Linked DNA regions of Xenopus tropicalis. The protein of the gene in region 1 interacts with the protein of each later gene in a pairwise test. Links are inferred from orthologs where the notes say so. Each region holds a gene or a part of one and is shown in the gene's direction. Other genes may lie near its edges.

Region 1 (3,500 bases):
ACCCCTCCTCAAAATACTTTGGTACATTGCTGCAAAAAACAGTGTAGTAGTAAGAAGTGATCTTTTATAGTGCTTAAGTCCATATGAAAGAGGTCTATATGCACAAATAAGCAATTTGTCAAAACATCGTGAGATAAAAAGTAGGAGGATAAATTCACAACCTGTTTCCAATGTATGCGAGACAGGTCTTGGATACCCAGCAAATGGACTAATGCCTTTAATGGTCAATAAGGATACAGCTTGCAAAAACATGCATTCCTTTTTTTTCAGTTGTTTTTTTTTTTTTTTTGTCCACTGATGTCTCTACTATTGGTTTTTCCACCACCGCATTAAGGGTAGGGGTGCTATTTCCTTGCACTCTGATATTCTATGGAAGCATTTTGCAGCAATAGCAAGTATGTATGGGTTAAGTATGTGCCAGCTTTGTACTCAGATGACACAGATCAGATATCTGCCATAGATTCTCTATTGGATCAATATCCGTTCTTTAACTGAGCGTTGTTTCTCCCTCCCCTCATTACATCCTTCTGCTCTACATTAAATATGCAAAGTTTCTTTTGATGAAAATCAGGCCCACAGCAGGATTCTGCCACCAACAAACTTCACTTTAGGTATGGATCATCTTACAGTTGAGGGCTACATTTGTTGGCAAGTTACTAACTTGTAAAACCTATAGCTAATCTGCCTGGAAGAATGGCTGATGAATGGAACAGTGTACAAAACTGGCACCTACTTACCCACAAACACTTATGGGCAGATGTATCAGAATGTGAGATTAGAACTCACCAGAGAAAAATTCACACACTTTCTCTTCATTCCTATGGGATTTTCGTAAGTGCATCTATCAAGTGGTGAACTTTAACTTTCACCTATTAATCTAAAAATCACATAAAAATGAATAGAAAGTGTCTTAATTTTTCTTTGGTGAGCTCTAATCTCTCATTTTGATAAAATTGCCCCTTAGTGCTTTCTGTGCTGCAAAAAGTGGTTCTAACACATATTAATGTGTGGGGTTTTATTTTTTTCTCTGATATATATTTATAAATGAAAACAAAATTTTTAAAATGATGGAGCAAAATGTCTATATAGTCTGTTATAACCACATTGTGAAATAAATGATGCATTTTTTCAGTTTTCAGAAATCCTTTTAAAGATTGACGGATACATCAAAAAGCAACCAAAGGCTTCTGAAGGTATCATTTAAATCATGGCATTAACTCCAAAATTTCAAGCCAGAGTACCTAAAATATCTTCAAATAATTTTCATGTGGACTGTTAATAACAGAGACAAAGAGTTACCAACCGAAAAGGATTGCAATATAAAGAAACTCACATTGTATTGTGCTGTAGAGTGAAAGGCAGCTGCATGAGTTTGTGTGGCTTTAAGGGAAAGATATTATAATAATTCATGTTTTGGTGTGATGTTAATGGTTATTGAATGGGATGACTTATTCTGCCTCACTCATGCCTGAAATTTGAAATATCCATAACCCTGGTATACAAAACAGATTGATGTGGAGGCTAGACTTTAATTGGTATTTTATATTACATGTTTTATTACACATCTTTTCAAAAAAGTGTTCTTCGTTTTTAAATCTAAACTGCAGTTTTCCCAGTTATTAAAAAAGAGATGAATGATGGCAGACTGCAAATTATTGTATATTGCCAGTTCTTCATATAAAAAGGTATAGTTATAAATTGGCACAGTGGTTAATTTCATTACTTTCTCTATGAACTCATTGGTTTGGCATACTGCTGTGTTTCATTAAAGTGACACAAGTAAGAATTCTGGAAAATATAAGCATATTCAGACTAAATATGCCTGTGTTTGTTTTATGATTAGCTTCCCGAGGAGGCGTTTATGTAAATGAATGAATGCTGTTACTCATCGACCTTCCATTTAGCCCAGTGAAATTAGCAATATATGTGATCTATTGATGTAAACTGGTTCAAACAGCAACATTGCATATAGATTCTCAAACAGAAACAAAGCAAGAATGTAGTTTTGACTGCACTGGTAATTTGAATTTTATTCTGTTTCTATTTTTTTTAGTAATGGGCCCTGTTGAAGCTGCTCCAGAGTACAAAGTTATCGTTGATGCTAACAATCTGACTGTGGAGATTGAAAATGAGCTAAGTAAGTGCATCTGACTGTATTCTCCGTGTTGGTAGAAAGTGCAATGTTTCAATAATCTGAGGTGATGATTTAGTAAAATAAGTGCTACATTTATGTACAACCCTTTTGTATAGGAAACTGCAGATACTATGTTAGAACATCTATAGCACTTGTGTACAGTATATATGGGAGTGTACGCTCTTAAAACCTATATTATATCTTCTTAGATATCATTCACAAATTTATTCGGGACAAATATTCCAAGAGGTTTCCTGAGCTGGAGTCCTTAGTTCCTAATGCTTTGGATTATATAAGGACTGTGAAGGTAGGTGATTTGTGTGCATGAGGATACTAAGTGGTTAGTTTGTGTGTCTTTCAGTAAGGGGGATTGTATTTTGTGCATGTGTGTATATAGTTATGGTATAATGGTGATGTCTGGATACACAGTGTGTAGTATAACAGTATGTAGGAACATACACTGAATAGAGAAGGTAATTTGTATAAAGATTTATTAAGCTGGACCCAAACTTTTCTTAAAATGTTAAATGAAAAATGTATGAACCATAAACATATATGGGGTACATGAAGTGACAATAAACTTAGCATTAGGTGACATCAGTAAACTACTTATGGCACCACTTTATGAACTTTCACATTTATTTTTCTTCAGTTTTTAGGTTAGCTTGGGGCCTAACAAAATCATCAGTATTGTGTGGGTTTCCCCTAGGTACTTTGCTTTCTTTTAATACTGCAAAGACATACAAGGAGGGTAATTGGTTCCTGATAAAATTGACCCTACTATGCCTGAAACTTATAGGGACCTTAGACTGGGACTGATGAGAATGTATATTATCTCTGTAAAGTGCTGCTGAATATGTTTACGCTATATAAATATCAAAAATAATAACATCTTATTTGGGTGTTGTAGGAGCTAGGGAACAATCTGGATAAATGCAAAAACAATGAGAATCTTCAGCAAATTCTGACCAATGCAACTATCATGGTTGTAAGTGTGACAGCCTCCACAACTCAGGGGTAAGTTCATATATCTGTTACTATACTATAACTTTTTCAGTGTTTGGGATGAAAATAAGAAGTAAGTTCCTCTGATCTACACAGGCAGCAATTAACAGATGAAGAACTGGAACGAATTGAAGAAGCGTGTGATATGGCGCTAGAACTCAACCAATCCAAACACAGAATTTATGAGTATGTGGAATCTCGTATGTCATTCATTGCTCCTAACCTCTCCATCATTGTCGGGGCCTCCACTGCTGCCAAGATCATGGGTAAAGTGTCATAGTGTTTGTTTTTATTTTAGCCAAGATTGTTTTATATCTTCACTCTTCTGCACAAAAAAATCTGTTCTGTAAACCATTGGCAG
Region 2 (4,071 bases), on another chromosome or scaffold:
ATTTTTACGCGCTTGGGGAAGGACGTTGGATGGGGGGCCCTGCGAGGGGGGTTGGGGCGAAGCTATACATTGTCTAATTTCTTTTAGGTTCTGTGCAATAAAAAATATCTTGTGTGCACATTTTTAGAAACAAATACTTGAGTGAGTGGGTCAGAAAAGTAATTTGTGTTTTCACTCAGATTTGTGCACCAAAATTTAGCCCTGGGAACACTATTGGGGAGTTCCTAAAGGCCCCAGAATGGAACAACTTGTTTAGGCCAATGACCCCCCCCTTTTTTTGTAACGTTTGTTTTTATTGATTTTTTACATGTTTCATTATCACATTTGTTTTCAAATTTTACATGCGTAACATTTTGTATATTAGGCACATTATCAGGCTTAATGTCCTTGTGATTGTTCAGAGTTATAGTATACAACAAAAAAGGAGAGGTGGGAAGGAGGAGGAAGGAGGAGGAAGGGTGAGGAAGGGGGAAAAGGGTGAGGGGGGGGGAAAGAGGAACAGTATAACAATTTACGCCCTAGGTCTCCATATTAAGTTAAACATTGTTAATAGGTTCAGTGTTTCCTTCACTTATTTATTGTTTTTAGATTGTTTACGGGAGTCCTACCCATAGCCTTGTGTTTGAGAGAGGGTCTTTATTTAGTATCCAGGTATCCCATATCTTTAGGTATAGCTGTTAATTTTCCAGTTGGTATTTAAGAGCTTTGATGGCGTGTATATATTCTGTTTTGTCCAGGACTTTCTTGATAGATAGCGAGTTCGCTTTCCATTGGGCTGCAATATGAATCCTAGTTGCCATGCATATATGTTGTGTGAGGTGTTGTGCGGGGTTGTTAAGGTTTAAAGTTTGTGTCTTAAGAGCATAATACTTTGTGGCATGGGGGAATGGTGTTAGGGTCACTGGGGAGTGCCCAAGAATCTGGCAGCCCCCAGTATTTTAAGATTCTTTCTCCATTGAGAACAAGGGACGGTTCAAAGGAAAAATGTACAAACCAGAGACTATAGCCGAAAATAAAGAAGAGGTGACAGCTCTGCCCAACAAATCAATGGGATAAACGATAACAAATACAATTGTGCACTAACACCGATTTACTCGTAGTTATAGTTAGTATTATAAAATTCATTCCTTTATACAGACTAGCACGTCTCTAAACTGATAATTATTAAGTTGCTTCTTTACAGAGAATAAGAAATTTGCCAAGAGTTGGCCAGGCAGGAGGCGGGGCTACATTGCGCTCCCTGTTGCTATAGGCTGCCAGCTGTGGGAGTGCTTTGCTATTGGACGCTGCACCCTTCCTGCACACTCGGGATCCCAGAGGGGCGGCTGTGTGCGAGTTATAGCGGGGCCTCGTTGTTCCTTGTGAAGCTGAATAAGCATGGAGCCGGCAGCAGGAGTGAAGGTGAGGTGGCTGCGTACACCTGCTCCCCATTCTGTGTAGCTGAGCTGTGAGAGTGCGAGTTGGTCGCACGTTGTGTCACTGTCGCTGCGTTTCTGCCTTTCGCGCCACCTTCACACGCTCGCTGCCCATTCATCAGATGTTCGCGGTGCATTTCGGGATATGAGCAGAGCGGCGGCTCCGGGTTACACTCTGCGCCTTGTTTCTATACTGATATACAGTTATATAAAGTTATATACAGCTATATACAGTTGTTATATACAGCGCTGGGAGCGCATTACCGCCCTGCCGCCTGCGTTATACCGAGTGCACTGCGGCTGGCGGGGGCTTCTGGGAGTTGTGTGGTTTCATGTTGTGGATTTCGTCAAAGACCTGGAAAATACTAGAGATGCAACTAAAGTGTTAATCACCTACCTTATAAATGTATTCTTATTTTTAGGACAAAAACTACTCAGGGGAGGAGGGAATTCCGCTGGCAGAATGTTACTGGCCCCACTGCTTGGGCATTGCTGCCTGGGCCGCTCTTATAGGAGATATGGGGGGGGGGGGGGGTCCCTAAAACTTCCTCACATGGGAGCGCACACCCTGTGCCCACAAGCCTGGTTCGAAACATAAACATGAAATAAATACAATAAGAATGGCCCCCTTACCACTGACATTGATTCATGCAGTGTAGTTACCATCAAGTACAAGGTGCTGTTTTATTTCTAGAGAAAAGGGAATCATTTTTAAAATGCTTAAATTTGACTATGGGAGGAATCTGGAGCTTTCTGGGCAAACAATGGAGTGAAAGCGGCGGGGGCGTAGGCACTGGTGGTTCGGGGGGCGTAGGCACTGGTGGTTCGGGGGGCGTAGGCACTGGTGGTTAAGGGGCCGCATTAACGAGCCGATGTGGTTCTCGATCTGACAGAAGAATCAAATCTGTGTGATGGAGACGTGGCTGATCTCAGGCCAGATGTTGGTTGGTGCCCATACAGGGGCAGGTAGGTCCAAAGGACCGCTATAGGCAGCTGAAATGGGCCTGTGTATGGCCACCGTTACACACCAGGGCTGTTACAGGATGGACACGCAACCCTGCATTTTCTATTAGTTTGTACACCGTGGAATGCAAGAAAACAACAAAAACAAATTTGTGTTTCACCTACACTTTGTGCCCACGCACCAGTGAGTACAAACTAATAGCAAATTTTGCATTTCTTCCTGTTCCAGCGCAGGGGACTGCAGGTAAGAACACTTGTGTAAGAGCCGTAGGACTGTTCATATCCCTTGGCTGCAATTACTCTAGCCCCCTGATCCATTTTGCTTCTCTCTGAAGCAAGGACATATCCCATTTTCCTCCCCATGTGGGTTTACCCACCACTTCTAAAGCTGGCCATACACACACCGATAATATCATACGAAACCTCGTTTCGTACGATATTCGGTGCGTGTATGGCAAGTCGTTGAGTTGACCGATATGGCAGGAGGCTGCTGATATCAGACGATTCGCCGATCGGCCAGTTAAAAGATTTTGATCGGGCGCCATAGAAGACACCTGACCAAAATCTGCCGTCAGGGCTGAATCGGCAGAAGGAGGTAGAAATCCTATTGTTTCTACCTCCTTATCTGCCTGTTTCAGCCCTGAAGGTTAGTGGCGGATCTGACAATCTTTCAATTGTGGCCACCTTAATAATAAAATATTTTACCCATCAGAGGTGCGGGCTAACAGACTGACTCCGGGAAGAGGAAAACAGTATGCTTTTTTTTTTTTTCCCCAAAAAAGCCCCTTAGTTACACTGGAAGGCCACGTTGGGGCACAAGTATGCGCATAGTGAGTGAATGCCCCAGCTTGCTCATCATGTGCTTTTGGTTCATGTAGGATTGGTTGATGTTTTCCCCATTTAGAAAATTAAGCTGCCTGTCAATAATTTGTGGTAACCTCGGTTTTCTATATGTGAGCATAAAAATGGCCCTTTGTAAGGCACTGGGGCCATTACCATAGCAGTTGATTGCTATTTTATATACACTATTCTGCCTAGCTATGTAAACTGAATTACCTATGCCCCACCACCAACTAGTAACTGGGTTACCTATGCCCCACCACCAACTAGTAACTGGGTTACCTATGCCCCACCACCAACTAGTAACTGGGTTACCTATGCCCCACCACCAACTAGTAACTGGGTTACCTATGCCCCACCACCAACTAGTAACTGGGTTACCTATGCCCCACCACCAACTAGTAACTGGGTTACCTATGCCCCACCACCAACTAGTAACTGGGTTACCTATGCCCCACCACCAACTAGTAACTGAGTTACCTATGCCCCACCACCAGCTAGTAACTGAGTTACCAATGCCCCACCACCAGCTAGTAACTGAGTTACCAATGCCCCACCACCAGCTAGTAACTGAGTTACCAATGCCCCACCACCAGCTAGTAACTGAGTTACCAATGCCCCACCACCAGCTAGTAACTGAGTTACCAATGCCCCACCACCAGCTAGTAACTGAGTTACCAATGCCCCACCACCAGCTAGTAACTGGGTTACCTATGCCCCACCACCAACTAGTAACTGAGTTTAGCACTCTTCTTAGGGTGAAGAGCTACTAGTAGCAGCTACTTGTCACAGCTACTAAAAAAGACAATGCTGCTCATTTACTGATAACGGTCTCTACCTGTGTTTTAGCAGA
Region 3 (4,278 bases), on another chromosome or scaffold:
GCATCATGTTTTAACAAATATTGGTATAATTTAACATTTTGACAATAAAAATATCAGCATGGTTTTTATTTGTTCCAAAATATTCTTTTTTGTTAATTTTGCTGCCTAATATTACTACGTGTTCTTCATTTTTTAAATTATGTATAACATTATGTGTAATTAAGTTTGGCCTAGTAACCGTTTGGCTTCACTCCTTGAAAAGAAGCATGTTTGAACTTGTACAGCATGGCAAGCCCCCAGCAATACAGATCCTTTGCATGATGTGTTTGTTTACCTAGTAAATGTAGTACTGGGCATACAAGGGTTCATTCACTACAACAGTTCTATACCAATTACATTTACGTATAGTCGCAAAATGGATTTCTCAGACACTTTGTTGGTGCAGGAATATAAGAAAGAAAATGTAAGTCCTAAATCATTTATTCACACTTGCTTTCTTTTATCTACTTGTTAGTAGTTGCTACTGTGTACATTGTGTATGCAGGGAGAGCTAAACTAAATAGTTAACTGCTTATGGTTTTGTGTCTGTAGTTACAGAAAAGGTTACAGAGAGTGTTTTCCACACAGCTTATGGGATGTAGTTATCAATAATTAAGGGGCAAATTTAACAAAGATTAGAGTGGGAATCTTGGAGGTTTCCTGCAGGATTCCCATATATTGATACTGTTTAGGATTTTTTGCAAAACCAATCAAACTGGCCTATTTATTCAATGGACCAATTTGATTGATTCAGACAAAATCAATGATTATCATTGTCCAAGCCTTCCGAAATTCACAATCTCAGACCACTAAAATAACAAGTGCTTTTATTTAATTTTTCAAGCAATACTTACAAAGGAATATAGAATTGGGGGTCCTAGGGATGCCAAATTATATTGTCAATATTGCTCTATTTTTGAACCTACAGCAGCTCTGATTCTTCACTAAAGACAGGTTGATACTTATTATTCCTAATAAGAATAATAATTTCAACCGGACAAAGTTGTATTATCAAATACAAATAAACTGATCCATTAGATCTCTATGCAGATAAATTGTCGAAGGAATTATTTCTCTTATTCTGTGCATTTTGTACACTTGCACCTGATTTTTCCTGTTAGGGTGATGGAAGGTCTTGTGGGGGGGGGGGGGGGCTAATATAAGTAAGGAGTATGGTGAAACCTCAAATTTTCACACCCTGATTTTAAGTTTTCCTTCATCTTCTACATCTTTTTTTTTTAAATCACTTTTCGCAAAACCTCAATTTTTTTGTAGTCCCACCAATATATAATGCATTTCCTTAATTTACATTTAAGGGATTTTACACAATTTTTTCTGTTTCCCCCATAAAATGCAATTTTACTGCAAACCTATTTAGCACTTTTTCTTGCATAAACCAATTTTGTTTATCCAGACTTGACCGTATGGAATGGGGCTGGGTCTAGGCTTTGGGCTAGTGAGGGCAAGAATGTGTGTTTACTAGAGGCAGCTTCCCTGGCAACAGCTCTGAGGAGGGAAGCCTAAAGAAAGTGCGGGAGTGTGCTCACAATGTGAATGGCAGGTTTGAAGATGCCGGGGGTGGACCTGTCACTGTAATACTTTCACAAACTGAAGCTGCTGCAGTGGCCACACCAGTCACCTAAATCATGGCTAACAAAAACCACGCCGGACACAGAAGGATAACAGAACTGCAGATCAAGGTACTCAGTGCATTCGAATTATAGAATCATGTTTTTCGTGATGCCTGTATGTTAATATCAGGGGTACAAAAGGGCTCACAAACAAAAGTAAACATTCTTAAAACATTTCTTAAACTCTTATCAGAAAGTACAAGGCAATTACTACAAGGGCCGAGCGGTTGCCTCAGTCCCCTGAGCAAGGTTAGAGTATTTCATTCGTTTGTAAAATGCGCTTTGAGCTTGCCATCCTGCAGCAGTACTCGGTTGTTATGGAGACAGGTTTGGCTGTATCTTCCCTTCCGGAACACGTTCTTATCCCTCTAGCTAGGAGGAGCGGGCTTTTCGGTTTTTTAACTCTTGATTTGCCCTCAAATTGCTGTTTAATCACAGAGAAATCCTGAGTACAGAAGAGGTTAGGCAGACAACTGGTGCTTGGTGCAGTTTCAGTAGCTTGCTGAAAAGTAGAGTCACTGCTGCCCCAATGTGCATTTGGTCACTTTATTTGTTTTATAATAATTGGTCATTTTTGTAAAATTGTCAAGGTAAATTGCATATTTATTGTACATCTTTTTATTATGATACTACATTGTTATATTGAAAGACTGCAATTCACTCCTACCAGGATTTGCCAGATGTTGCAATTACAGGATTCTGTTATGTTTCTAATGGATGTATACCTCTTTATGCCTGGTCCAGGGTTGCCAGATTTATTTTTCCAAACGTTAGTTCTAAAATCAGCCACTTTGAAAGTAGCTCAAAAATTACCCAACATGTGCCATGAAAAAAATTCTAAAAAAAATAAAAGTATATATGGGAAAACATGCCTTTTTAAAGTGTATAATCACTACCCAGTTGCTGGGAAGACTGATAATTCCCTGCCATCTGTGCCCAGCCCAGCTGGAAAGTATGTCACTATATCACTACAGAAATAGATTTCAAATGTTGCATTAACATATGGGTGTGTTATACTACAACTCTCAGAAGTCCCAAGATATCCTGAGAGTTATAGCTTTAGGGCCAACTGCAGAACTGCCCCCACATCATAGTAGAAAGTAATAGTACAATCACATACCCTACAGAGCAGGGAGCAGGTTGTAGCACAGACAGGTTGAGCCTGAAAGCAGGTTGAACCCTGGCCTGGTCTGTGCTTAGTACCTGATAAAGAGCACACTCTCATCACTGATTGGCAGGAGGGAGACAATTGATTCAATTCCAGCTCTGTCCAATGTGAAATATAAGCAGGTTTGCAAAGATTGGTAGTCAGTTCTTACATATCAACACAATGGAAGACATAAACACTAGATATAAATGAAATACAATTACATAACTGGACAAGTACATACATCCAAATATACCAGACCTCCCTTTTTAAATATAAAACAATAACAGTTTAGCACTGCCACTAAATAGTAGAAACTCACCAAGTGTGACATGGGGTCCAAGTGCTCAGATTCTAAGCTTGAAGGGTAACCAATGTCACAGAGTATAAACACTCACAGGGAGACCAATTAACAATATTTTGTTTAAAACATTTTATGATATATTTATCCTTTTATGTTTTTCGTACTCTTTTTTTTCTTTGCAATTCCTGGTCTCAATCTATGTGAGTGCCTCCTCTCTCTATATAAAAAGAGAGAGAAACAGAATCATTTTGAGTCCTTATAGGTCTTCTGTGGGCTCGAAACATTAATTTTGTTTCTCTGTACCTATATGTATAAAAATCCAATTTTAAACTATATTGGACTGCTGTATCCTGGAGGTTTGCATAGCAGTACCAATGTATGGGTCTTCCGTGGGCTTGAAACATTACTTATGTTTTTCTTTACCTATATGTATAAAAATCCAATTTTAAACTATATTGGACTGCTGTATCCTGGAGGTTTGCATAGCAGTACCAATGTATGGGTCTTCCGTGGGCTTGAAACATTACTTCTGTTTTTCTTTACCTATATGTATAAAAATCCAATTTAAACCTATATTGGACTGCTGTATTCTGGAGGTTTGCATAACAATACCAATGTATGGGGACACTGTTTCTAAGCTCTTATGATTTCCTGACAATGGACAGTACTGCTCTGCAAATTTTGTGAGAAATAAGGTTTTTAAATTTTGTTAACATTAATATTATTTATCCTTTAGATTGATGAGCTGCAAAAAACAAACCGAGGCCTAGAAAAGCATATTGAACAGCTACATGAAAGCAAGGAGGTTGCCAGTAATCAGGTGGATATCCTAACACGTAAGAATGAGCAGTTGTGTGAAGAGCTGACCGAAATAGACAAACTAGCAGAACAGCTTGAGAAAGACAAAGAGCAGCTTTTGGATGTTGCAGAAAAAGAACTGGAGGATGCAAAGGTGGATACACAAATTTTGTATTTAAAAAAAGCTGTAAAAAATGCTGTAAAAGACATGCATTGACTTGAAAATGCAGATATGGTGCCTTAAAATCAATGGGCCCGATTCACTAAAGTCCGAAATAAGGAGTGCTATTTATAGCATGCGTTAAAAATCTTATCACTTCTTATTTTTCACTCGATTCACTAAAAGGACACTTGTCATAATTAAGAAGCGATGTTCTTGCGTTAACGCGTGCTATAAATAGCACTCCTTATTTCAGACT
Region 4 (4,169 bases), on another chromosome or scaffold:
GCTTTGAGCGGGACAGTCCCGCTTTTTATAGCGCATCCCGCTGTCCCGGATAGTTCCCTGAATGTCCCGCAATTCCGTAATAGATTACGGAAATGCGGGACATTCATAGAGCGATCCGCGATAGCGGGATGAGAGGGCTTAAGCTGAGCGCTCCGACTGTGTATGAAGGGCACTGTGTATGGGGGGCTCTGTGTATGGGGGGCTCTGTGTATGAAGGGCACTGTGTATGGGGGGCTTTGTGTATGAAGGGTACTGTGTATGGGGGGCACTGTGTATGGGGGGGCACTGTGTATGGGGGGCTCTGTGTATAAAGGGTACTGTGTATGGGGGGAACTGTGTATGGGGGGTTCTGTGTATGAAGGGCACTGTGTATAAAGGGTACTGTGTATGGGGTCACTGTGTATGGGGGGCTCTGTGTATGAAGGGCACTGTGTATGAAGGGCACTGTGTATGGGGGGGCTCTGTGTATAAAGGGTACTGTGTATGGGGGGCTCTGTGTATGAGGGGTACTGTCTGGGGGAAATTGGAGGCACTGTCTATGGGGTAAAGTGGGGGCACTTTCTATGGGGGGTACTGTCTATGGGGGACCTGGGGGGCACTGTGTATGGGGGGTACTGTCTCCCCTGTGTGGGGGGGCAAAACTGGTAGATAGTTATAACTCACTTATAACTGACTGCCTTCTCTCTATATTTGTATTTTATATGTAGGAGTTGCTATTTTGTTTTCCTTAGGTAGTACAGTATAAGGGTATAGCACAAAGGAGTATTTTTAGAAAAACATGGGGTGTGTTAATTGGGACGTGGCCACAAAATTGCCGCGCTGCGTGCGCCAAATCTTTTTGTCCCTCTTTTCGTTTTTCAAATGTTGGGAGGTATGCAGATGGGCGGGGCCAGTGGGGTTTTTGTGGAATTTCTCAATAAATCAGTCAGAAACACAACATTTTTAAGCATAATCCTTCTATATCTAGAGGAGTATAATTCACTGGTACATTCATAATTTGTATAGGATAAAAGGCAATCATGTAGTTTAAGACCTAGATTTGTGGGAAGGCTCAGGCCCGAGGTTGGCATGCTGCCAGGGCCAAGTCTGCACTAATAACTAGTGACTGGTAATTATCTTTATCACTTTATTAACCTCAATTAAAATTAGCACCAAGCTTCATTTTTACTGCAAAGGGGACTATGTTCGGCGTCTTTTTCTTCGAAAAAATGCATATTCTTAGTTTTATCTATTAGAAGTCAAGCAAAAGATGCGTCATTTTAGTTTCAATGTTTTTTTTATTATGCGCTTCGCTTCAGAGCTTAGTTTCTGCTTATACAACCGGAGAAGAGAAAGCGATGTAACTGTGCCGGAAGTTTACAAGCTTTTCCTTACCGGAAGTGGCGCTCTGGTGCAACGCTGTCACAGTCTCGTCCTGCTACAGCAGACTCGCGGTGTTGGGTCCGCCGAAAATGGAGTCGATCAGGAACCTGGCGGAAAATCTAAGAGTAGTGCTGGGGAAGCTTCGAGGTGATTACAAAGACAGTCACTCACCTGTACACTTTTAAGGTCTCGACAGTGTGACACCAGCTGGGTTTTACTTGTTGCTGCGTTATATGAAAGTGGGAGTTGTAGGTCGACAGCATTACATTGCGCAGCCGGAGTCAATTATGAAGCAGAGCAGAAAGATTGGCTTCCCTAGTTGAGGGAGTGTATTCACATATATAAGGGATGTCAACATTGAAACCAAATATTAAGTACATTTTCACCTTGGCATATTGTTCCGATGTATATATGCTGGAGGCGGCATTGGTAGCACTATATATCTGAATTAAAAGGGATTAACGCTTATAGAGTGTATTAACCCTTAATTATATTCTGAGAATTGTAGTCTAACAACATATAGGGACGTTAGAAACACACTGTCCAAATAGTAAAGTTGGAGGGGTTGAATTGGTCATTTTTCTTCAGGAATTCATTTCATGACCTATGTTGTATGTATGGCAAGGGCTGTAAATGAACTCGATCCATCTGATCTGACCGGGTAAAAATACCAAAACTCTATTCAAGCTTATGCAAAATCCTGGTTTAATTATAAAAGAGGCTAATTATGATATTATAATAATAATAATCCCTTAAGGGACAGCCAGAATTTCATGGGGGCAGTTAGATATTGAATTTAGATTCTCTTTAATGAATATGTCTGTTTTGTTGGGAATATATGATGTATGAGCCTATGGTGAATATAAGGATAGATCTCAGGTCCAGACTAAGGGGCTGATTTACTAATCCACGTATCCGAAAAATTTGGATTGGAAAACAAACATTTTGCGGCTTTTTCATATTTTTTGCGACTTTTTCGTATTTTTTGCGACTTTTTCGTAGCCGTTACGACTTTTGTGAATTATCGCGACTTTTTCATAGCCATTATGACTTTCGTGAATTGTCGCGACTTTTTCATAGCCATTATGACTTTTGTGAATTATTGCGCCTTTTTCATAGCCATTATGACTTTCGTGAATTGTCGCGACTTTTTCATAGCCATTATGACTTTCGTGAATTGTCGCAACTTTTTCATAGCCATTATGACTTTTTTGAATTATCGCGACTTTTTCATAGCCATTATGACTTTTGTGAATTGTTGCGACTTTTTCATAGCCATTACGACTTTCGTGAATTGTCGCGACTTTTTCATAGCCATTACGACTTCGTATTGAGCGCTCAAAAAAGTCGCAAAATACCGATCATTACGAAACAAACGCATTCGGACGCTTTTCGGACGTTCGTGGATTAGTAAATGTGCCCCTAAGAGTGAGACTGAGTGCTCTTGCCTTGTTTCTGTAGATGGAGAACCCAGAGAGAGTGAGAAATTCAATGCACAGCATTTCTGGGGAACACTGGGTAAGTAACTGACACAAGGCTTGTAACGTTATGATGGAATAAAAAACAGAAATTGTCTGCTAGGAATTTTCCATTTGTTATGTAGTGCCTGTACATGATTGGTTGAAGTAGCTTTGTACAGTGTGACACAGGGATGCGCCTTCTGCTTTAGTTTAAGTTTATAGAGAGAGTAAATGCTTTTTCTTTTGTGTACAGAGGGCACTGCACTCTAGAAAGGCAGCAGAATTATATATCTACTGCCTCTGTCATTGACTGTCTGTAGGAGCCTTCTGCTATCAGCAGTAGGCTGCGAGGTGTGGTTCTGTATCATCTCCAGAACATCTGTTCAACATTTATTCCCTGTAAACACTGACACATTCCACAAGTGTCTTACACAAAAAAAAAATACACATTATGATATATTTTCCAGTGCTTAGGGAATCGCTGCAGATAATGCAAATGACAAGGTCATTACTTATTGCACTGAAAGTAAGTTTAATTTACACGTGCTTGGGGGAAGGGGTCGGGTGGGTGGCGGGGTCATTCTGGTCAAAAAAGATGAATTAAATGTCCCCTTGATCTCCTGGCATGCACCTGGGAAGGCGAACTTGTTGGAAATCCTCTTTAAGGGTTTGTGAGCCTTAAAAAAAAAAAAATGCAAAAAGTTCCTGTAACTGTACAGGAAAATCTCCTTGACTTACAGTTACAGGAACTGACCAGCAGGTGGTGCTGCTGTTACAAAATTCATTATATTGGTAGGTAATAAAAACTTCTGAAACTGAAAGAAAGAAATAATTAATGTAAATTGCAAAAGTGCTTAAAAAAAGCACCACTTATTTTTTTAATATTCTTATACTCTTATTCTTCAAGATCTTTGAGTCCCCCAAAGTATAGAAGTGAGGAAATTGCTATATACATATTATTTGTGTCTCTTACAGTTATTTCCTATATTTTTCATAGGACATTCAATTAAAGCAACATCTCAAGAAGCGACAAAGCTGAGTTTGGCTTTTTTGAAACCACCTCTGCCTTCAGAAGAGGTAAGTGATATCCCATACAGACAAACGGTCTATGTGAAATCTTTATTCAGGATAACACATAACTTATTTCACCCTATTTCCCTTACCCCAGGGCAGCCAGAAGCTATGTGATGGACTTCTCAATGCTATCTTAGCAGATGCCACTGTGTACTATTCTCTCCCAAAGGAACAAGGTGAGAAGCAGTGTCCTGGACTAGTATCTGGTACGGTGTGATTTCTCAGCAGTCCGTATATTCAAGGTTTATCAGCCATTCTTTGGTAATTTGTATG
Region 5 (3,500 bases), on another chromosome or scaffold:
GCTGCATTTACTGTAGGTGCACCCTTCTTCCTTTAGCTTTCCCTTAGCCATTCCATACATAACCAAATTGTACTTTAAGCTTTGGTCAGCTTGATCCATGTTTTATGTCTATTTGTTCCTTTCCTGTCCTCTCATTCATTTTCCTTTGCGTTCCCTCTTTCCTGTTGTATTTATTATTACTTACAGCTTCTTTTGTGCCTACATAATGTCCTCCATACTTTATTCTATACTGTATACCCTAATTATTTTTTAATCCCCCTTTAGTCTATCATTCCCTTTCTCTCTCTCTCTGCAGCTCTCTTTATACTGATATCCTTAGTCACTTCCCTCCCACTCTTACTCTCCCAGCTATTCCTGTTACTCTGCTGCACCAATATTCTGTTATTTCTCTGCTACTTCCTTGATACGGATGTCAAAATGAGGGAAGGAGAGGATGAGTTGCCTTTTGTAATGGTACTAGGACAGGCCCTGTGTACCAACCCTTTAGATGTCCAGTTAACTGAAATTTACCCAACTGAGCCTGCAAGTGGGAGGATGCAACTTGTAAACACTCTGCTAGGAGTGAGTGTAAGTATGGAGAGGCGCAGGCCACAGGCTTAGCAAAAATTGATTTATCTTTGACGTTATCACCTTATATAGAAGGTATATTTGAGGTTATACAGTGATTAACACAGCAAATCTCTGTCAAAACTTTAAATGTGGTAATGTGCTTGTCTATGGCAGTGGTAGACAAACTGGCACATCTATTACTATTATTTATTATTAGCCATCAGTTTATGTGGCATGTAACCTGTATTTTTTCAAACCATGCCATGGGTGGATGAATGTTTACAGAAACATACAGGCAGGTAAATTGGTGAATGTGATAGGTAGCTTAGATTGTAAGCTCCACTGGTGCAGGGACTGTTGAACAGTTGCTATTAATAAAGAAAAAAAAACGATGTTTAACACAGAAATAGTGGAGGATGCAAATAATTTGTTTAATCTATGTTTTTGCATAAAAGCTTGCCTGATTTTATTCTGTAGGTTGGTTTCTTAGACAAAAATAGGGCATTTGCTAAAAACAGATTTAAGTTAACCAAGACTGTGGCTTTTTGTGTTACACGAGGGACGGGGGTAATATAGGTTGTTATTCACCAATCCATGCTCCTCAGTTCAGGACAGGGCAAAAAGGGGAAGTTTAGAAACATCAGCCCTTATTTCCGAGTGTCACTAAAATTTGCAATAATTTCCTCAGCTCACTGTTTTTCTGTCTTTCTGCACATTACTTATGGTTTTAGTTCAGTAACCCCAGTGTTGACTTAAACACCCTCGCTGCAAAGCTGCTATCTGACGAATAATGACAAAATGTGGCATGCACATGAAGAAAACACTAAGCCAGGTAGTGTGATAGCTTTGAATTTGTTGGTTTGCAAGAGGTTTGACCACCACATATTTTTTTCATCATTCTGCCACAGGCCACCCCCTCCAATTTCACCTAATAGGTATCACTTTAAAACATTATCTGAAATCTTTTGTCACTTGTAAAAATTCAGGTGGCTATTAGGTTATATCATTTTGACATGCATTCAAATCTAAATATGCCTTTACATTGTTTTTATGCTATGCCACAGCAGTCCAGCTGCTTTTACTGTTCTGTAAGCATCAGGTTTTGCAAGTAGTGGGATATTAAAAACTATGCATATGCAAATCTGCACTGTAATACTGCTTCTTATGGGTAATGAGATGAGGCGCATACCTGGCAGATTAAGTGTTTCACTAAAGTAGAAAATAGTGGAAGGACTTAAAGGGAAAGTTTAATTGCCCCAACATATCAGTGTGAGAGCATCACATTATAAAAGTTAACAATCATTCATAGACCCAGTGGTGGGTGGGCACTAACAGAATGTAAAGCATCAGAGTGTGGACTGGCACAACAAGCATCTACGGGCACAACTGTAGGAGTTATTACAGAAGCATTCTTTGTTTATTGGATCTGGATGTGATGTTAAATGTACTCAGTAGTCCAGTGTTAAGAGCTGCTGCCTTGCAGCACTGTGGTTCGATGTCAGTTAGCTATCTGCAATCAGTTTGGATGTTTTTTTTGTACTTGTGAGGGTTTGATCTGGGTATTCCAGTTTCCTCTCCCAAAAACATACAGAAGGGTTTATTGGCTCCTGATCATAGTGTGTATATGTGACAGAGATTTATATTGTAAATTTTACTGGGCATGGGGCTAATACGAAGGTGTATGTTCTTAGCACATCGCTGTGGAATATTAATTGTATTAACTGTCATAGATTTTATTTTATATTGTTTATGTAACTTGTATTTTGTTTCTGACTTGCCCCTTCTTTTAATCAGCAACAACTCGACAAAGGGGATCTGAGCACCCTAGGGCTGCCCCCCAGCACAGTTCATGGAGGCTCAGAGGGAAACATCAGCCTGGAAGTCCCAGAGGGAGCACCTGACCCTCAACGCACAAAGGCAGCCATGGATCATCTGCATCAGAAGATCCTAAAAATCACAGAGCAGATCAAAATTGAGCAGGAAGCAAGAGATGACAATGTGGCTGAATATCTGAAACTGGCAAATAACGCAGACCGCCAACAGGCCTCTCGCATCAAGCAGGTACAGTATAAGCTTCTTCATACTCTTTAAGCAATATCAAACTGTGCACCATTGAAGCATATGTAAGTAGGAGCAGGCAAATATGTTGGGCATTAAGGTATTGACTGACAAACAAAAATAAAATAGAAAAAGTAAACCACAAGGCCAAAAGAATGCATTTTTTACTTTAAATTGAATTATTTTAATCCATTAAAACCTTGACTTGGAGAAATATACAAACAATCTTTCCGCTACATTTGATGCTATGAATAATTAAAAATAACATTAACACTGAATTCAGTACAGTTGAATTTTCATATTAAAAGTTTATTTTGCTGCAGGGTTTATAAAATTCTACCTGCCTTCAAAGAATCTGTGTTAGTACAAATATTAAGGTCAAGTAACGCATGTATTAAAATGTGGCATCACATGAAAGCTTGTGCAAGTGACTGACACTTGGAAACAAAGTCTGCATATTTCCAAGTGACAACTGAATGCCAAGTGCTTGCATGATGTTCTTACATTACATTACATTAACATTTATTTATAAAGCGCCAACATATTCCGCAGCGCTGTACAATAAGTGGGTTACATACATTGGACATACAGAGTAACATATAAAGCAATCAATAACCGATACAAGAGGTGAAGAGGGCCCTGCCCAAAAGAGCTTGCAATCTACAAGGAGAAGGGTTAAGACTCAAGGTGTGGGAATGGGCATTACCAGAGTTGTGAGAGGTGTGGCACAGGGTGTTGCTAAACTAGATTAGGGTAAGCTTCTCTGAATAAATGTGTTTTTAGAGATCTCTTGAAGGCAGAGAGATTGGGAGAAAGTCTGACAGTTTGTGGGAGCGAATTCCAGAGAAGGGGGGCAGACCTTGCAAAGTCTTGAATGCGAGCGTGTGAGGAGG
Region 6 (4,269 bases), on another chromosome or scaffold:
GTGTAGGAGACAGTGATTTATGATAGGTTGGGGGGGTCCCACAATTTGGTAGAGATTTAGGGGTGTATTGGTTATATGGGGGCAGAAATTAGTTGAGGGTGCCCTTTGTGTAGGAGACAGTGATTTATGATAGGTTGGGGGGGTCCCACAATTTGGTAGAGATTTAGGGGTGTATTGGTTATATGGGGGCAGAAATTAGTTGAGGGTGCCCTTTGTGTAGGAGACAGGGATTTATGATAGGTTGGGGGGGTCCCACAATTTGGTAGAGATTTAGGGGTGTATTGGTTATATGGGGGCAGAAATTAGTTGAGGGTGCCCTTTGTGTAGGAGACAGTGATTTATGATAGGTTGGGGGGGTCCCACAATTTGGTAGAGATTTAGGGGTGTATTGGTTATATGGGGGCAGAAATTAGTTGAGGGTGCCCTTTGTGTAGGAGACAGGGATTTATGATAGGTTGGGGGGGTCCCACAATTTGGTAGAGATTTAGGGGTGTATTGGTTATATGGGGGCAGAAATTAGTTGAGGGTGCCCTTTGTGTAGGAGACAGGGATTTATGATAGGTTGGGGGGGTCCCACAATTTGGTAGAGATTTAGGGGTGTATTGGTTATATGGGGGCAGATATTCAGGGAGGGTGCCCTTTGTGTAGGAGACAGGGATGTAGGAATAGTTGGGGGGTCTGTAGTTTGGTAGAGATTTAGGGGTGTATTGGTTATATGGGGGCAGATATTCAGGGAGGGTGCCCTTTGTGTAGGAGACAGGGATGTAGGGAGGGTTGGGGGGTCTGTAGTTTGGTAGAGATTTAGGGGTGTATTGGTTATATGGGGGCAGATATTCAGGGAGGGTGCCCTTTGTGTAGGAGACAGGGATGTAGGAATAGTTGGGGGGTCTGTAGTTTGGTAGAGAGTTGAAGAAGGTACTATGGGGGCAGTAATTTGGGGGGGGGCAGGGGGTTCTATGGGGAAGCAGGGGGTTAGTAGTGGGGTAACATGGGAACTGAGATTGTGTGAGGATTGGCTGTGGGTATCAGGCATTAGAGTAGAATTGGGGCAGAAGGTACAGGGGGGGTTAGTTCCTATCCGGGCAGTGGAAGGAAGACATAGGGTAGCGGTATAACGGGTAACGGGACTGTATGTGGGAGAGTTCGGTACCGACTGCAGCAGAACATCGCAGGGGCCCCGGCTTGGGCTCCGCACCCACAGCGGCTCAGTAACGTACTCCCGGCCCCTCCCGCACTGTCCCAGCCCCGCCCATTCAGTCAGTCCCAGCTCCGCCCATTCAGCACCACAGACAGCGACCAACGGGGAGACTCGCTAAATATTAATGAGCCTGTCACTTACTCCTTCCCACCATTGGTTGGGAACAGACAAGGGGCGTGTGTATGGGCGGGGTTGGCGGAGGAATTTGCTTGTTCCCCGCCCAAGGGAGGGAAGCGGTGGGTTGGCGCAGCCGTTTGTTTTTAAGGAGACGTGAGTGGGCTGCTGGGTCAGTCGGAGCCGGGCGGGCTGAGAGGAGGCTGTGTGGGAGCCGCACGCTGTGGGTACGGGGAGGGCAGTGACAGTGACTCTCTGTGGCGGAACTTCGCTCTGACAGGGATCCCTACGGGCTGCTCTATTGCCCCTGCCGCGGACTATTTCCAACCCCTTTGGGTCGCCCGGACTGGCCCTCGGATTCCCGCTGGATTCTCCGGAGTATTAACCCCCCTACCCCCGTATGGAGAAGTATCTCCCGCAGCTCCTGGCTGAGAAGGACGCGCTGGATCCGTCATTCACTCACGCACTCAGGATGGTGAAGGAAGGTAGGAACTATTGCCCCCCCCGGGGTATTATATTGTTATATTATGGGGGACACTTGCACTGGGGGTGACCTCTGGGGTATATTTATCCTGTGGGGTACAGAATGCAGTGCGATTCCCCCCCCGGGTATATTTTACTGGAACTGCCCCACTGGGGTACATTCATTCCTACCCTCTGCCCAGGAACAGCCCCCCTGTACTCTACTGCCCCCCCAAGGGAACTCATGCACTGTAACTGCCCCACTGGGGTACATTCATTCCTACCCTCTGCCCAGGAACAGCCCCCCTGTACTCTACTGCCCCCCCCATGGGAACTCATGCACTGGAACTGCCCCGCTGGGGTACATTCATTCCTACCCTCTGCCCAGGAACAGCCCCCCTGTACTCTACTGCCCCCCCATGGGAACTCATGCACTGGAACTGCCCCACTGGGGTACATTCATTCCTGCCCTCTGCCCAGGAACAGCCCCCCTGTACTCTACTGCCCCCCCATGGGAACTCATGCACTGGAACTGCCCCACTGGGGTACATTCATTCCTGCCCTCTGCCCAGGAACAGCCCCCCTGTACTCTACTGCCCCCCCATGGGAACTCATGCACTGGAACTGCCCCGCTGGGGTACATTCATTCCTGCCCTCTGCCCAGGAACAGCCCCCCTGTACTCTACTGCCCCCCCATGGGAACTCATGCACTGGAACTGCCCCACTGGGGTACATTCATTCCTACCATCTGCCTTGGGACAGCCCCCCTGTACTCTACTGCCCCCCCATGGGAACTCATGCACTGTCACTGCCCCACTGGGGTACATTCATTCCTGCCCTCTGCCCAGGGACAGCTCCCCAGTACTTTATTACCCCCCCCCCAAGGGAACTCATGCACTGGAACTGCCCCACTGGGGTACATTCATTCCTACCATCTGCCTTGGGACAGCCCCCCTGTACTCTACTGCCCCCCAAGGGAACTCATGCACTGAAACTGCCCCGCTGGGGTACATTCATTCCTGCCCTCTGCCCAGGGACAGCCCCCCTGTACTCTACTGCCCCCCCAAGGGAACTCATGCACTGGAACTGCCCCACTGGGGTACATTCATTCCTACCCTCTGCCCAGGGACAGCCTCCTTGTACTCTACTGCCCCCCCAAAGGGAATTAATTCACTGAAACTGCCCCACTAGGATACATTCATTCCTACCCTCTGCCCAGGGACAAACCCCCTGTACTCTACTGCCCCCCATGGGAACTCATGCACTGGAACTGCCCCACTGGGGTACATTCATTCCTACCCTCTGCCCAGGGACAGCCTCCTTGTACTCTACTGCCCCCCCAAGGGAACTCATTCACTGGAAGTGCTTCCCTGAGACATATCATCTCTTCCTCCTCTCCTAAAATTGGTCCTACTCAGTAAAGTACCCTCACCATCATCTATCCATCTATCTATCTATCTATCTATCTATCTATCTATCTATCTATCTATCTATCTATCTATCTATCTAATCTACCTATCCATCCATCTCTGAAGAATAAGGTAAATCAATGTTCATTCTCCAAAGCACATTCACCTTAACAACCTCCTATGGAACATGTCCCTCAGCTTCCCAAACAGTCATGTTAAGAACCCCCAAGCCCTTTATACTAAGAATTCACCCCCCAATGTACAATACCACCCAAGGATTTTACCTCTACCCTCAAGTCAAAGCTGCTCATACTCCGGGGACTGCGCTCCCTAAAGCTCCCCTATAACCTTATCCTCTCTAGGGAACTCATCTCTCAACCTCTTCCAAAAATCACAATGCTTGGGGCAGGGGGGGCTCTCTCTTCTTGATGGCCAGGATTATATCTAGAAAGTCTTTTTGTTTTAAGAGCAACCCCTTGGCTAAACTTAGTGATGGGATTGGGTAGAAGGACTGGAATCTTGAAATCTAAATTGCTCTTTTGGAGAGGGTGGGGGGGTAATATGTTTCCAGGCTCTGCTTTCACTCTGGTTGGGGTGGGTACATAGGATAACGTCTCTGAAATGCAAAAAAATCACATTGTGGTATTGGTACCTGACCTAAATCTGTCATTACCTGTTCTAGGGGGAAGCTATGGATTTGAACTACTATAGCTCCCTCTGGGGGTCTTGTACTTAGAATGCTCTTGGTGGTGGTGGGGGGCTGCGTTCTAAAACTACACTCACTCCACCTTCTAATGTATCTATAGCATATTGTAGCTCGCCCCGAGTCCCTCTGGGAAGATCCAACGCCAGCTGTTTCCCTCATGTTAATTCTATTGAGATCCGCTGTATCTCACAATAGGTGCCACATATATAGCATTCTCCGTCTCTCTCTAAGAGACCGTGGCAGTCACACCTACAGAGCAGTCTCCATCTCTCTATTTCGGTGGAAGAGAGCCCACCCCAAGGTATTGTCATCGCTTTATTTTTACCCTGGTTTCAGTATAGGAATCCTCAGGGTAGGACAACATGCAGCCCCGGGAAAGG
Region 7 (3,500 bases), on another chromosome or scaffold:
TCAAGTTGCGCCTGTGAGGGTAGAGGTGGCACGTGAGTAATACATGGACTCCCTTGCACTAGTGTTAGGCTTATGCCTCCAGCAGCAAAGGTGAGCAAATTGGTCCAAAATGCTAGTATAACTGTAGGATCACGTACATGGTGTATGGTATTTTTAGAAGCACAGTTCTCCCTGTGTCTAATCGCAAATAAGCATTGGGTCAGCAACACTGACCGGACAACACCCATGGCAAACAACTGAATCTGCCCTACCACACGCAACTGTATCATTCACAAATCAGCAGCTTTAGCCAGCCTCCCACAGCTTTTACTGATTTGAGGGACATCTCTGGCATCCTAAGGTGTTTAGAAGTTTGGGAAACCTGCATGATGTATACCGTATGGAGCATGGAGTGCTGCCAATGTTTGTGTCTGCTGCTTTGTGTCAGTTAACGCCTTAACTTTGTACGTATTAACATGTGTTCTTAAAATGGTGTTGGCTTGTTTTTTTTTATCTTTTTTCTTGTATATGAGCCGTTTGTTCACTATCTTTTTGCTTCTAGAATATAACAGCAATAACAAGGCAGGCTCAGATTGTATTAAAAATGCATATTGTTTGAGTAGGAATATATTTACTTACCTATTCAGTCCCTCTATTATACTATTATCTCTTTTTAAACCACTGCCCTGTTGCTATGGAAAATAAGACCCTAGCAACCAGAAAGGTGCTATAATACCAAACTGAAGAGGTGTGAAATTAAAGCTAAAGAAAAAATAAATACGAAGACAGATTGCAAACTGTCTCAGAATATTATTGTTACATCATACTAAATGTTAATTTAAAGGTAAACAGCCCTTTTAAATAGAAACATAATTTTAGTGATAGTTCTCTGCCTGGAAAATCTCCTTCTAACTACTACTGACAGTAATATATAGCGTTTTACACGTATTTAGTGTAAAGAGTCATTTTCTTAAATACAGGGCCAGTATGATTTTTATTTCAGCTTGTAATGAAATCATTTGTGGCTATTTTATGCTTAAGTATGGAAAATGAGAACATGACTAGGGCTATTAATTATTGAGAGTGGTCATGCAAGGTAAGAATTAACAGTGCTATGTATAACACAGACATCTACAGGGATGAGTTGCATATTAACCTGTTATATATTAATGATTAATATGTTTGCAGATTTAAAGGAATTCTTAAAAAAAATATTCAGAATTCATCAGTGTAAAATTGATATAATCTACATTTCCCCCTGCAGGTATGCCTATGGCATCATCAGCTATAAGACCAGCCCATGCTTCTACTAGTTTTTTTGACACAACCACCTCCTCCGTGTTCCCATCTTATTTTCCCCAACCTTTGCATGACATACCCAGTACAACAGCAACACAGAATGCCCCAGGTTTCAGGGCAGCAGAGACAGGATTCTCAAACAGCAGTGGGTTGTGGGACATGCAACATTTGGTCAGACCTGTGAATGGAAATGTCCATGGAGATGCTTCCTCTGGATCTTCTGGGTACCAGTCTGCTAGCAAACTCACAGGTAATGGCACATGTGATTGGTTGCTTTCTCTGATCATTCTTCATATACAGTTATCTCCACAAAACAAACAGGGTCCACAGGGATTTAAAGGAAATCTATACCACCAAACAATATAGGTCTCTATAAAAATATATTGCATAAACAAGCTCATATGTACAACCCTGCTTCATCTAAATAAACCATTTTCAGAAAAATATAAATTTTTAGTAGCATGTGCTATTGGGTTATCCTAAATTGAAAATTGCCATTTTAGGAATTAAGGGCCCCTCCTGGGATCATAGGATTCACAGTGCACACAAACAAGCCAAGGCACACATACATGCTAGGCCCCATCAGCCAATGAATGGACAGAGTTCTGCCTTTTGCTCCCACACTTCTTCCTGTTACAGTCAGAGCTGCGTTATTTCTGGTGATGTGATCTCTGAGGGAACACACAGCCCATCACAAAATGGTGGATCAAGGAAAGGATGTAAAAGGGCACTATTTACTGATATATTTATATTCCAGTTTGGTGAGATTCTTTAATAGGTCACTTATCACAATATAAAATTAAGTATTCATTTTGGGGGTATAGTTTTCCTTTAATTCCTGTTTAAAGCTGATTCATTATAAAGCTAACAATCTTTCGAGGAAAATATATCAAGATAGCAATGCTTATGTAGTAAGTTTACATGGCTGATTTTCCAAATTTCCTCATCTTCTTTGGGTGATAATAGGCTCGGATCTATTGGAGGAACATCTTGCTGAAATCCGAAACCTCCGTCAAAGCCTGGAGGAATCCATCCACATGAATGATCGCCTGAGGGCACAGCTAGAAGACAAGCTCACAGCTGCAACTAAAGGGAGTGGTAAGGAAGAAATGAGAAGACAGCACTTGTGTCTCTGCTAGGGAAACATTCTGTGATGTTTGGCAAATTGTATGATATGTGTCCCAGTTACTGCATGTGTGCTGTGAGGCTTATATGTATCTCAGTCGGGATGCAATAGCTATGCTGATATGCTTTCTAAATACTCTAAAGCAGTCATCCCCAACCAGTGGCTCAGGAGCAACATGTTGCTCACCAACCCCTTGGATGTTGCTCCCAGTGGCCTCAAAGCAGGTTCTTATTTTTGATTTCCTTGCTTGGAGGAGGATTTTGGTTGCATTAAAAAATAGGTACACTGCCAAACAGAGCCTCCTGTAGGCTGCCAGACTTCATAGGGGCCACCAAATAGCCAATCACAGCCCTTATTTAGCACCCCCAGGAACATTTTTCATGTTTGTGTTGCTCCCCAATATTTACATTTTAATGTGGCTAACGAAGAAAAAGGTTGGGGATTCCCGCTAGAGTATAAGAGTGAATTAGAGGCTGCACAGTGCTCCAGAAGATAGGAGTATATAATACACCTCCCCTGTAATTGAATAGTAACTGCTGAAAAAGGAATATGCACAATATAAACCAATTTTAACTCTATTTCAATATATTCACATTTGCTACATGTTGTGGATAGGGTTTTTATTAGAAACAACTGCATTTTCCCCTGCATTCCATCATAATCTTTTGTTTATGTTCCAGGTCCCCCCACTAATATTTACATCCATGGTTTGGAGTCACTGCCCCAACTGTCCAATGAGAACAGAGCACTCAGGGAAGAGAACCTCAGTTTACAAGTCCGAATCAATCAGATCTCCAGAGGTAAGGGATTTCCTGTGTGTTTGGGGGGACAACTGGCAACATCCTTTGAAAAATAAAAATGAAAGCAATAGTAGCAGGCACATTTATGCTGATACAGAGTATCGGCTGTGTACCCTAACTGTAGGTACAACAACATATATTCTGAATCAGAGCATTATATTTAAATACTGTCATTAGGGCACATATAGTTTAACGTCCCTAAATATCAGTCTCTTAATAGGTGTGCATAATGGAGCACAACAGCACAATTGTGCAGGTATAAAGTAGAAGCCTTGGTCTTGATATTTTCCTGAGAG

The links.
Region 2: the proteins of prpf31 (region 1) and cdca7l interact in binary tests that used the Homo sapiens proteins (3 or more experiments, as listed by UniProt). The two-hybrid records come from large-scale screens. The link is inferred for Xenopus tropicalis from reciprocal best matches to the Homo sapiens genes PRPF31 and CDCA7L.
Region 3: the proteins of prpf31 (region 1) and tsga10 interact in binary tests that used the Homo sapiens proteins (3 or more experiments, as listed by UniProt). The two-hybrid records come from large-scale screens. The link is inferred for Xenopus tropicalis from reciprocal best matches to the Homo sapiens genes PRPF31 and TSGA10.
Region 4: the proteins of prpf31 (region 1) and ccndbp1 interact in binary tests that used the Homo sapiens proteins (3 or more experiments, as listed by UniProt). The two-hybrid records come from large-scale screens. The link is inferred for Xenopus tropicalis from reciprocal best matches to the Homo sapiens genes PRPF31 and CCNDBP1.
Region 5: the proteins of prpf31 (region 1) and tmcc2 interact in a two-hybrid assay, tested with the Homo sapiens proteins (2 studies listed by BioGRID). The two-hybrid records come from large-scale screens. The link is inferred for Xenopus tropicalis from reciprocal best matches to the Homo sapiens genes PRPF31 and TMCC2.
Region 6: the proteins of prpf31 (region 1) and khdrbs3 interact in binary tests that used the Homo sapiens proteins (3 or more experiments, as listed by UniProt). The two-hybrid records come from large-scale screens. The link is inferred for Xenopus tropicalis from reciprocal best matches to the Homo sapiens genes PRPF31 and KHDRBS3.
Region 7: the proteins of prpf31 (region 1) and pde4dip interact in binary tests that used the Homo sapiens proteins (3 or more experiments, as listed by UniProt). The two-hybrid records come from large-scale screens. The link is inferred for Xenopus tropicalis from reciprocal best matches to the Homo sapiens genes PRPF31 and PDE4DIP.

Annotation. Positions count from the first base shown.
Region 1 is NC_030683.2:104,952,575-104,956,074, reverse strand, and holds part of prpf31 (U4/U6 small nuclear ribonucleoprotein Prp31), read left to right. Parts: intron 1-1,132; coding exon 1,133-1,193; intron 1,194-2,053; coding exon 2,054-2,137; intron 2,138-2,343; coding exon 2,344-2,441; intron 2,442-3,044; coding exon 3,045-3,151; intron 3,152-3,235; coding exon 3,236-3,405; intron 3,406-3,500. UniProt on the Homo sapiens protein: Involved in pre-mRNA splicing as component of the spliceosome. Required for the assembly of the U4/U5/U6 tri-snRNP complex, one of the building blocks of the spliceosome.
Region 2 is NC_030682.2:39,660,410-39,664,480, reverse strand, and holds the start of cdca7l (cell division cycle-associated 7-like protein), read left to right. Parts: upstream 1-1,271; 5' UTR 1,272-1,377; coding exon 1,378-1,401; intron 1,402-4,071. UniProt on the Homo sapiens protein: Plays a role in transcriptional regulation as a repressor that inhibits monoamine oxidase A (MAOA) activity and gene expression by binding to the promoter.
Region 3 is NC_030678.2:112,840,046-112,844,323, forward strand, and holds the start of tsga10 (testis-specific gene 10 protein), read left to right. Parts: upstream 1-1,478; 5' UTR 1,479-1,625; coding exon 1,626-1,679; intron 1,680-3,797; coding exon 3,798-4,013; intron 4,014-4,278. UniProt on the Homo sapiens protein: Plays a role in spermatogenesis. When overexpressed, prevents nuclear localization of HIF1A.
Region 4 is NC_030686.2:18,727,218-18,731,386, forward strand, and holds the start of ccndbp1 (cyclin-D1-binding protein 1), read left to right. Parts: upstream 1-1,369; 5' UTR 1,370-1,451; coding exon 1,452-1,509; intron 1,510-2,823; coding exon 2,824-2,880; intron 2,881-3,819; coding exon 3,820-3,899; intron 3,900-3,990; coding exon 3,991-4,072; intron 4,073-4,169. UniProt on the Homo sapiens protein: May negatively regulate cell cycle progression. May act at least in part via inhibition of the cyclin-D1/CDK4 complex, thereby preventing phosphorylation of RB1 and blocking E2F-dependent transcription.
Region 5 is NC_030678.2:72,958,888-72,962,387, forward strand, and holds part of tmcc2 (transmembrane and coiled-coil domains protein 2), read left to right. Parts: intron 1-251; exon of another isoform or gene 252-417; coding exon of another isoform or gene 418-567; intron 568-2,343; coding exon 2,344-2,610; intron 2,611-3,500.
Region 6 is NC_030682.2:144,623,310-144,627,578, forward strand, and holds the start of khdrbs3 (KH domain-containing, RNA-binding, signal transduction-associated protein 3), read left to right. Parts: upstream 1-1,469; 5' UTR 1,470-1,712; coding exon 1,713-1,797; intron 1,798-4,269. UniProt on the Homo sapiens protein: RNA-binding protein that plays a role in the regulation of alternative splicing and influences mRNA splice site selection and exon inclusion. Binds preferentially to the 5'-[AU]UAAA-3' motif in vitro.
Region 7 is NC_030680.2:118,189,242-118,192,741, forward strand, and holds part of pde4dip (myomegalin), read left to right. Parts: intron 1-1,243; coding exon 1,244-1,528; intron 1,529-2,244; coding exon 2,245-2,376; intron 2,377-3,084; coding exon 3,085-3,204; intron 3,205-3,500. UniProt on the Homo sapiens protein: Functions as an anchor sequestering components of the cAMP-dependent pathway to Golgi and/or centrosomes.